2 linked regions of the Arabidopsis thaliana genome follow. The protein of the gene in region 1 interacts with the protein of each later gene in a biochemical or structural test. Each region holds a gene or a part of one and is shown on either strand. Other genes may lie near its edges. The genes, in order: RIP3 and ROP2.

Region 1 (5,238 bases):
ATACAACACTTGATGTTGCCAGTATCTGACTGTTGCTGACGGAAACTCTAGCTCCCAACCGTAACATTGTCGCCATTTCAGTTAACCTTTTTTAATCCAAACGAGTTCTTCCTAGCAAAAGAAGGTTCAGCGAGAAAGACATGTCACTAAACGAAGCATCCAACTAACCAAACAAAGAATTCTTTATCTTCGTCGAGAATGAAGGCAATATAATCCATTATATCAAACTTCTTCAAAACAGATACAACTGAATATTCTTGTGCAAACTCATATGTAGATGAACAAGTTGGATATCAGGACGGGCCTGTTTCAAGGGGAGACAAAAAAAAGTAATCAAATACCTTGTATATATATACATCATTCAAATTATATTAAAACTCAGGATCAAGCCAGTTAATTTCACAGCATAAATGCTTTAGCAACAAAGTGGTTAGTTTCACAGACATTTTATCGAGCAGGTGGTGTGCACAATGTAAAACAAAGAAAAACAGAAACCTTTGACGTAAGATTTTGATTATTTTTCCGACAATGTCTGAGTAAATGAGAATGGTGGAATCTGGCTCCAATTTCAATGATTCAAATTGAGGGACAAGGACGAAGAAAGAACCGCGTTATGGTTTTAGACTTTTTAGTGGTGTGGTGAAATTTACGTCGAGTTTTGAACGATACATATGGATACGAGTTACGGTTTCAAGTATGGTTCAACCGACGCGAATTAGATCGAACCGAAAATTTGATCGAAAAATGAAATCGTTGTCCGCCAGAACCGGATAAAACCGGAAATTGGGAGGCGGATGAAATTAGTTTTTGACTTTTTGTACATAACCAACCCATCATCAGTCGATCACTCACTCTCGGTCACTGAAAATTAAAAAAAGAAACAACACTAGCTAATTTCAAAATGTTTTATGATCAATGGTTTATAATAATTTCTAACATTTTTGCATAATCATCATCGCATGGTGGTGTTTAATTATTTAATTACTAGCCAGACAGTGTAGTGAATTTATTGTTGAAATACTTTCTTTTTATTCGTCAAAAGAAAAATTTGATTAGTAGTTCAGAAGTCACTAGTTAATACTCTAATAATCTAGTACTAGTGAATATAATGTTTTTACAAACCATTAATGTAATCAAGCTAATCGATCGTTAGCATAAATTTCAACGATATTTTCTCCCAATTTTTGTTTTCCGCCCAAATATATAGTTAAAGTTGTGTGGAAATAATATGTTAAGTAAATTAGCAAGCGTGTATGATAAATGAAGATAGTGATGATTGATTTTGCATTGTTTCTTTTAGGAGATGTGTATGTCGTATTTATCATGCATCGGTTTTCTATGAGGTGGTGTGAAAGTGAAACGTTACATGCTTCAATATATAGCACTTTCAAATGTATGTAGATTGAACACGGAAGGTTAATGTGTTTTTGTGAAAAATTGTGACAATTTTATGAAAATTTTCCATTTATAAAGTATATAGATATGCTAGGTTAGTGTCCTTTGTGTGTGAGTGACTTATGGTTGCGTGACCGTTCGTTGTTCATAAGTAGCAATATGAGGCCAAACAATAGCACGTGACTCGGGCGCGTCTACAAGGCGCGTAGTTAAAAAAACGCCCCCTCCACGTTCTTCTACTTTCGGTCCATTCTATCAATTAATTTCAAAATAGCCCCTGATATTTATTGATCTATTTCATTACCAACCCCACAAGTTTTTTTGATTATCCAAAATTTTAATTTTAATTTTTCGGAATAACCAAAAGGAATCCAACGTAAAAGGATTATAAAAATAACTAAGTACTGAAAATTGAGGTGGAAACAGCACAATCATTACTTCAGGGGTTACTTTTGATAAATATTGCAGTTTAGTTGAAAATAAATGTTTCTTCAGTGGGAAAAAACGACTCGCGAGTCCAGTGAGAAAAAAAGAATAACAATCCGACGAGAAAGAGGAAAGATCAAATCATCTAAGTGCTGGTGCCTTGATTCTGCAGTTCTCCATTTTAATCCAACAAAAAAAGAAGCTGAATCGACGGTATAGGTGAATACTTCTTCACGACTTTTTCAAACACTCAGAAACTTCTCTTCCTTTCACATTGATTTATTCCTAATTTTAGTGCGATTTTTTCCTTTTTTTTCTCAGAAGTTTATCAATCTTGTTAGGTAGATATTTACTACTAGTTTGTTTTTTCTACTAATTTGCTGAAGAAAGTGTTAATCTTTGGTTGGTTTAAGGTATAAATTTGCTTACATCTACTCAAATCAGCTAACTTTTATTTTGGTTTGGTAGCTTAAAGATTCAGTCAAAAAAAACTTTAATCTTTGTTTTCCTGCAAAAAGCAAAAGTGTTTCTGTAATAAAACACCTTTTTGCAGAGAATGTTAAAAGATTCTCTAGTTTTAGGCTTTATGTAAAAACGATTTTTTTGCTGGGTGTTCTGTTTTTGGATCTGTGTTTCTTTTTTGGGAAGATCCACCCAATGAAACCAAATCTCACATTACAAAATGACAAGAAATTGTCTCTTCTTCCCAATAATTCCAAAACTTTGATTTAGTAAAAAATAAAATAAAATAACTGGGTGACTTAACAACCAGAAAGATTATGTGTAAGATATTGGTGCTTTCTTTGCTTGTAATAGGGTTTATCTTTGGTGATTTGATGAATCACATTGACGGCAACTTCTTTTCTAATTACACTTCTAAATATTTTATATATTTGGAATTGTTCCAAATCATTACAATATTCATTTGTTGTCTCTTTGCTTTCGTTTGGTGGTAATAGGAGTCTCTTTGAAGCTAAATGTGTAAATATTATTCTTATGTTTTTTTCGTACACTTGCTTAAGCTTTCTTTCTTCCCTGAGTTTGGTTGTCTATATGCTTATGATAAGTTTTTTTTTTCCCTCTGTTGCTTCTTTCTCACACTTTCCATTGGTCTTCATGTACTATTTGTCAGATTCTTCAAAGAAGCAATCATAACGCAATTGATTATATCCCCAAAAGAAAAGGTTTTTAAACTCCAAAAATGCAGACTCCAAAATCAAGGTGATGATCACAACTCTAACTTTGTGTTCTTGTTGTGAATGTTGTTGGAGTTATTGATCTGTTTCAAAGTGATTGTGATTGTGTGTGATAGGCCAGGATCATTGGAGCTGCCACAAAAGAAGTCTCCTTTACCAGCTCCCAAAGTTGTTAGGAGACTCAAACCAAGCGGAGCAGAATCCGATCCAAAAACCAAGACAATATCGAAAACTCAAATCCCGAAAGTAGTAGCTGATCGTCGCTCTGCAAGAATCCCTCTCAATGAGGTACTTTTGCAGTTAAAAATTGTTGGTTTGGTTTGGTGTATGCAAGTTTTATATATGGTGATTCTTGATTATGTTCTTTTCAAGATTCAGAAGAAGCGGACGGGAAGGATACCGGAACTGGAATCTACGATATCTCAGCTTCAAGAAGAGCTTAAGAAGGCAAAAGAAGAGCTAAACAGATCAGAAGCATTGAAAAGAGAAGCTCAAGAAGAAGCTGAAGATGCCAAGCATCAGTTAATGGATATCAATGCCTCGGAAGATTCAAGAATTGAGGAGCTGCGTAAACTCTCGCAGGAGCGAGACAAGACATGGCAGTCTGAACTTGAAGCTATGCAGAGACAACACGGAATGGATTCTACCGCTCTGTCTTCTGCCATTAACGAAGTTCAGAAACTGAAATCGAAGCTCTTTGAGTCCGAGTCTGAGTTAGAGCAGTCTAAGTATGAGGTAAGGTCTTTAGAGAAACTCGTCAGACAGCTCGAGGAAGAAAGAGTAAACAGTAGAGACTCTTCATCATCAATGGAAGTGGAAGAGCTGAAAGAAGCAATGAATCTTTCAAGGCAAGAGATAACACAATTGAAATCTGCAGTTGAAGCAGCAGAGACAAGGTATCAAGAAGAGTATATACAGAGCACATTGCAGATAAGAAGCGCATACGAACAAACAGAGGCGGTTAAATCAAGATATTCACAGAGAGAAGCAGAGTTAACGGAAGAATTGAACAGAACCAAAGATGAAATCGAAGGTTTGCGCAAAGAGTTAATGGAGAAGGTGAAAGAAGACGAATCTACGGGCGATTTGAAGAAGCTAGAATCGGATTTGATGGAAGTGAGAGGGAGTTTAATGGATAAAGAGATGGAGTTGCAGATTCTAAGGAGTGCAATGGAGAAGAAAGTGGAAACCGCAAACACGGAAGCCATGGAAGCTGAGCTTAAAAGAGTGAAGATTCAATGTGAGCAATGGAGGAAAGCTGCTGAGACGGCAGCTTCTATACTGAACAATGATGAGGAAAGAACAGATTCTATTGAGACTAGCAAAATGTTGAAGAAGTTTGGTGTGTTACTCAAGAAAAACCATAAGTAATAATAATACTGATTCTTTTTACTTGATTTAATAAAAATGGCATTATTGTTGTATGTAAATTTATAAAATTTCGATTTGTCTAAGTTTAATTTTTTTGTTGAAACGTTGCCACATTTGTTGATGAAATTTGTATTGTGAAATGTTGTTTGAATTCAATACTTGAAAAATTATACCTTACTTGTCTGAGTGTGAGCTGCTAGTAGCAAATTTAGTTTGGTCCTGTACATTGGTTTACACTTTACATGTATAGAAGAGTCAAGAGTGTAAAGTAAAAGTTTGTAATAGAATGTGAAACTCTAATTAAGAAGCCACATGAATACCTCTCAAGTCTTGGATCTTCCTTTTGACATTTTCTTCTGTCTATTTTCCTTTTTGTTGCGCACTAAACGCTGAGACGGCCCACTAGATTGTCTTTGGTAATGACAACCAAATCCACTTCATGAAAACATTTGACTTTTTTTTTTTTGGCAGAGACTAACCCATTCTACCTAGTTTTTAGATATCAGTGACAATAATTAATTAACTACTAGAAAATGTCCCACGCGATGCGTGGGTGAAATGAATGTAGTGAAATATATGTCTATAACTAATATATATTAATATAATATTAATTATTTTATAATACATTCAATAAAAAATATCATAAATATTGTGATTATGATATTTTAGTTTTAAACTAAACATTTAGTTTATGAATTATAATCTAAAATTATTTTGGGTATTTATAAATTAAAAATTATCGAATTGATCAAAAAAGAAAAATTATAATATTGATATACAAGATAAGCCTTGTGTTTTATTTAAATATATGAAAATGATATGCAATATTTCTCTGAGTAAAAGATTTCAT
Region 2 (4,639 bases), on another chromosome or scaffold:
ACTACGGATTCGTATTGTTTTCAAGAAACCGAAAGAAGCTGAAGCTGTACCTCAAGAGGATCCTGTTTGTTCCACTTCAGGGACTCAGAGACCTAGCGAATTACCAAGTTCTGTCTCTCTTCCAAGTATCTGTGATCATGATGTGGCTGTACCCTCAACTTCTCTTGAGAGTGGCAAGGTAGCAATTATTTCCGAATCAAAGAAGAGAAAGAAACATAAGCCTAGCAAAGAATCCCGGTACAATTCATTGTTTGATGAATTAGTTCCTCCCTGTATTTCCTTGGAGGAAGATGATAGCAGCAGCGATGACTGGCTTTTTGGAACAAGTCGGAAAGAAAATGTTTCTTCTGCCAAGTCTTCTTATAAGACTGATGAAGACACGATCATGAGCTTGCAGACGTCAAGAGATTGTTCCTCTTTGCCTAGAGCTATGTTATTGTCTGAAGTTGGAATTTTTTCATTACCATATACTGTCCCGTTTTAGGTCCCATATTGTTTTGTTCTTTCTCAGCTTAGCCTTAGGCCTTAGCTTTGTACAGTTATCATTGTAACAATCACAGTGATCTATGATACTTGAACGATCTCTGTATTTTTGACACTAATCAAAAATCATGGTTTCCACTTACTAAACTATCGTCTACATGATTTTTGTCAACTGGAAGTTTTTGGTTGAATTGATCAATGCGATTGCAAAAGCTGGCTACTTTTAAATAAGCAATTTCTTGCAAGAAGTTGACTGGTTTAGCCGTTCCCCAGTTTAACTTCTTGCTTAGGCAGCTGGAGAAAGATCTCTTTAAGCATGATGCTTGGTAAGATCACATGAATATACATCTTGTGGGAAAGAAGCAGAAAACAAGAGCTCTTAAAAACAAAATAAACGTTGCAAATATTAATTAGATTCATTTGTTAATACAAAATGATCCTCAAGAACAAAAGAGAAGAGAGACAGAGATTAGTCTACATAGCAAGAGTACAACACACGGTCTCTTAGTCTGTGGACTCGAAAGATTCACCAGCAAAGAGTAAAAGACACAACAACAACAAAGCTCGTTTTAGCAACTATACAAAAAAGCTACTAGAAATGTCTCCCTTCACGTCGAAATTATCATATTAAAATGGGCCGAATCAAATAGTTGAAATCATCTTCTGCTTCTTTCTTTAGTTGGTTTTACCTAGTCTTAGAGGTTTTTCTTATCACAAGAACGCGCAACGGTTCTTATTCTTTTTCTTCTTCTTCTGCTTTGGTGGCTGAAGCACCACTTTTATAGCTGCATCAAACACTGCCTTCACGTTCTGCAGAAACACCAAAAGGAAAGAAATAAAGCTCACCCTCTTGATAAGATCAAATATTGCAAACAGTGAGGAACAGGACAAGCGATTTGTTATGTATACCTGCTGTGTCTTTGAACTACATTCAATGTAGACAGCAGATCCAATCAGTTTCTTCAGTTCCTCTCCCTGCATCATTCAAAACAACATCAGACAATTCTATTAAGAACTGGCAATCATTGCAAGACTATTCGTTTAAAAGGATATGTACCTGGTTTGTAGTAATTGGCACAGCACCAGGATGATCTATAAAGAATTGCTTGTCATCTCGAAGATCTGCAGCAAATACCAGTGACTTAACAATCAAATTTTGCAAGAAAACTTAACAACTTCGTTGGTGTCACAAGGCTTGTAGGAACGTAACCACAGATCTTTCAGTCAAAAAAATAGCATGATCAGTTCAATAGGGAAAGTGTGTGATTACCGAGTTTTGTCCCAACAAGGATAATGGGAACACCAGGAGCATAATGCCTGAGCTCAGGAATCCACTGAGAGAGGAGGAACGAAATCAAATAAGATCACTCATCAACACAAACTGTATAGGATTTATCAGCAAAAGAGAGACAAACCTTCTTGGCTATATTCTCATAGCTAGCCTTGCTAATAAGAGAGAAAGCAAGAATGAAAACATCAGCACCACGGTAACTCAAAGGTCGTAACCTGTTGTAGTCCTCTTGACCTGTTAACAAACCCCACAAACACAAACTAAGTCAAAAACAACCGAAACAAAAGGAAAATCCCAAACGGTGAAACGAAAGAATTACCAGCAGTATCCCACAATCCAAGATTGACAGTGTTGCCATCAACAACCACATTAGCACTGAAGTTGTCGAAAACAGTTGGCACATAATCCTGAAACACCAATCACAAGTCACAGATTTACACCTTATAATCAAAATCATCCTTTATAAAAAGCAAAAACAAAACACAGTAGCTTCAAGATCAATACTTTGGCCTAGATTCTCAAAGTCTTAAAACAAAAAAAGTTGTAACGAAATTGATCAATTTCTAGTATACAGCTCCATGACCTAAAATCTACACCTGAATCCAATTTGCAAAAACCTTGCAGATCACTAATCTACTCTTGCAACGAGCTCAACAAAAAAATAAGAAACCGAAGAGATATTGAAATAGGAGAGGAAAGATTTACAGTAGGAAAAGTATTGCTAGTGTAAGAAATGAGCATGCAAGTTTTTCCGACGGCACCATCTCCGACGGTCACACACTTTATAAACCTTGACGCCATCTCTGCCGCAAGATCGGAAACAAACAAAAAAGCCCTTAAAATCAATCCTCTTTTGTGGTTGCTTCTTCCTCAAAACCTCGACATTTCTAGCTCGCCAATCAAATTCGAGCTCTAAAAGCTTGTGAATCTGAGAATCACCCAAATTCGAAAAAGAATCGAAGAGAGAAGGAAAAGAAGAAGAAGAAGGTTGATTTGGCGGTTGATAGATGACTTTGAGAGGAGCCTATAGGAGGAGGGGACTAGTAGAAAAACAACAACTCTGAGACAGCTAAGAGAACAGCACCAAACACCTCCTTATCATATACACTCACTCCCCTTTTATTTATATTATACTTTTTATTTTCACCTCTATTTTTCTTTTTTCAAAATTTTGAAAGTCTCTTTTCTTTTATGTCACGGATTTTGAATTTTGAAATGGAGAAGATCTGTCAGTTTTTTTTAAACAACAAGAAAAATACAATTGTCATGAATGTTTTTGTATTATCTCTTTGGTTTCTCAACAGTTTTTAAATGTTTTTAATAATATATTTCGTTTAACACTTTTTTATTGTGATACATATTTTCATTGTTGTTTTGAGTTAAAATTGTCTCTTAAATTTGGACTAAATCATTGACATGAAGCCTAGAGAAATCTTAGTAAGGTAATATTTTGAACTATCATATATTGTCTGAACAATGCAAGTTTCAAAATCCTAGTGTGTTGTGTCTTTGGACTTGCACTGCCACTTTGATTCTTACTGGCATGAGACTTATCCAGTTTTGAGCAGTTTTCCATAACATTCTTTTTGTTCACAACTTTATTAAAACATAGCTAACGAAGTTTTGATTATCAATATTAGCAGTAAACGAAGTCGCTTATCTGTCTAATCCTCTTGGTACCTACCAAAACAAGATAAGAATTCCATAGAAGTTTATCATTTCACCAAAACAACAACTAAAAGTTGTTATCTTACTTAGTTTAACCATGTATCGATTATTTTACAAATAGTAATTGGTAAAATATTATACCGTCTCAAAACTATAGATTTTCTTCAAATAAAAACTTTCTTTAGCTAGCGAATTTGAATCCGCATATCCAGTTATAAGACTCCCATTCACAACATCTTCTACAACTGCCAGTTCTCTCGTATGTAATGTATCAAGGGAGGTAAATTCAAATGATCTAAGATAGACTTTATAGTATAGCAAAAAAAAAAAAAAAATGGCATACGAGAGAGACTTAAGCAAAATACGAAGAGGCATGAATGAAATCTTTAATCATTGGATTTGGCAACTCTCACTCATCAAGAACGTGCCGGCACGATTCATAAATGTCTTATTTATGATGTTTTTACTTATTTTCTCTTTTCGATTCCCCTCGGATTACGAAACATAGGCGACTAGAGTCCAATGGGACGTGCCCAACTCTAACTAAATCAATCCACTAACGATCCACCACGTCACTGATTGTCCCATCACCTAATCATAATCACACCAGACGGTAGCTTCTTATAATTATTTGTCAAACTTGATGAATTAGTAGCTAATTGCCATCATGTGTTATTTTCAACTTTTTCATTCCATAAGACTATATATATATATATATATTGCTGACCAAAAAAGAAATTGCTTATATTGATTATATGCTTACTGAGTTTAATAATGAAAATTAGAAATGTAATAAAGTTATCCACAAATATTTATCAAATGACCGTGATAAATCGTACAAAATTATGTGTTAATTTAACCACTCATAATTTTTTTAATAAACATTTATCATGTGGATTTGGATTTAAATAATCACATTCAATGATAGTAGCACAAACCACTAAATTGTACACGAAAAGTATGAATTAACCAAATCATGATATCAAAGAAGTTAAGCTTAGTAGCTTACCAACTATTCAGTATTCACCAACCAGTGACCAATCTCTCTTTATTAACTAACTTCACTTCTTTTCTGTTCAAAAATCTTTTTTCCTTTTTGATAGAATAATTCAATTACTGACCAGAATTCTCTAAGAAATAGATGAAAAAGACAATCCATAATCACTATTGCCATAATCCAATAAGCTGCAAAATAAT

The links.
Region 2: the proteins of RIP3 (region 1) and ROP2 form a complex in vitro, tested with the Arabidopsis thaliana proteins (one study listed by BioGRID).

The regions. Positions count from the first base shown.
Region 1 is NC_003074.8:19,779,340-19,784,577, reverse strand, and holds RIP3 (ROP interactive partner 4), read left to right. Parts: upstream 1-1,876; 5' UTR 1,877-2,040; intron 2,041-2,347; exon of another isoform or gene 2,348-2,953; 5' UTR 2,954-3,022; coding exon 3,023-3,042; exon of another isoform or gene 3,043-3,080; coding exon of another isoform or gene 3,081-3,133; coding exon 3,134-4,388; 3' UTR 4,389-4,496; downstream 4,497-5,238. Other genes in the region: AT3G53360 (Tetratricopeptide repeat (TPR)-like superfamily protein), read right to left, coding at 1-76. UniProt on the Arabidopsis thaliana protein: ROP effector binding specifically activated ROPs and linking them to the microtubule cytoskeleton. Involved in ROP-regulated polar growth.
Region 2 is NC_003070.9:6,965,159-6,969,797, reverse strand, and holds ROP2 (RHO-related protein from plants 2), read right to left. Parts: upstream 2,957-4,639; 5' UTR 2,576-2,956; coding exon 2,480-2,575; intron 2,182-2,479; coding exon 2,094-2,181; intron 2,009-2,093; coding exon 1,899-2,008; intron 1,818-1,898; coding exon 1,754-1,817; intron 1,606-1,753; coding exon 1,541-1,605; intron 1,459-1,540; coding exon 1,393-1,458; intron 1,294-1,392; coding exon 1,195-1,293; 3' UTR 789-1,194; downstream 1-788. Other genes in the region: AT1G20100 (DNA ligase-like protein), read left to right, coding at 1-484. UniProt on the Arabidopsis thaliana protein: Inactive GDP-bound Rho GTPases reside in the cytosol, are found in a complex with Rho GDP-dissociation inhibitors (Rho GDIs), and are released from the GDI protein in order to translocate to membranes upon activation.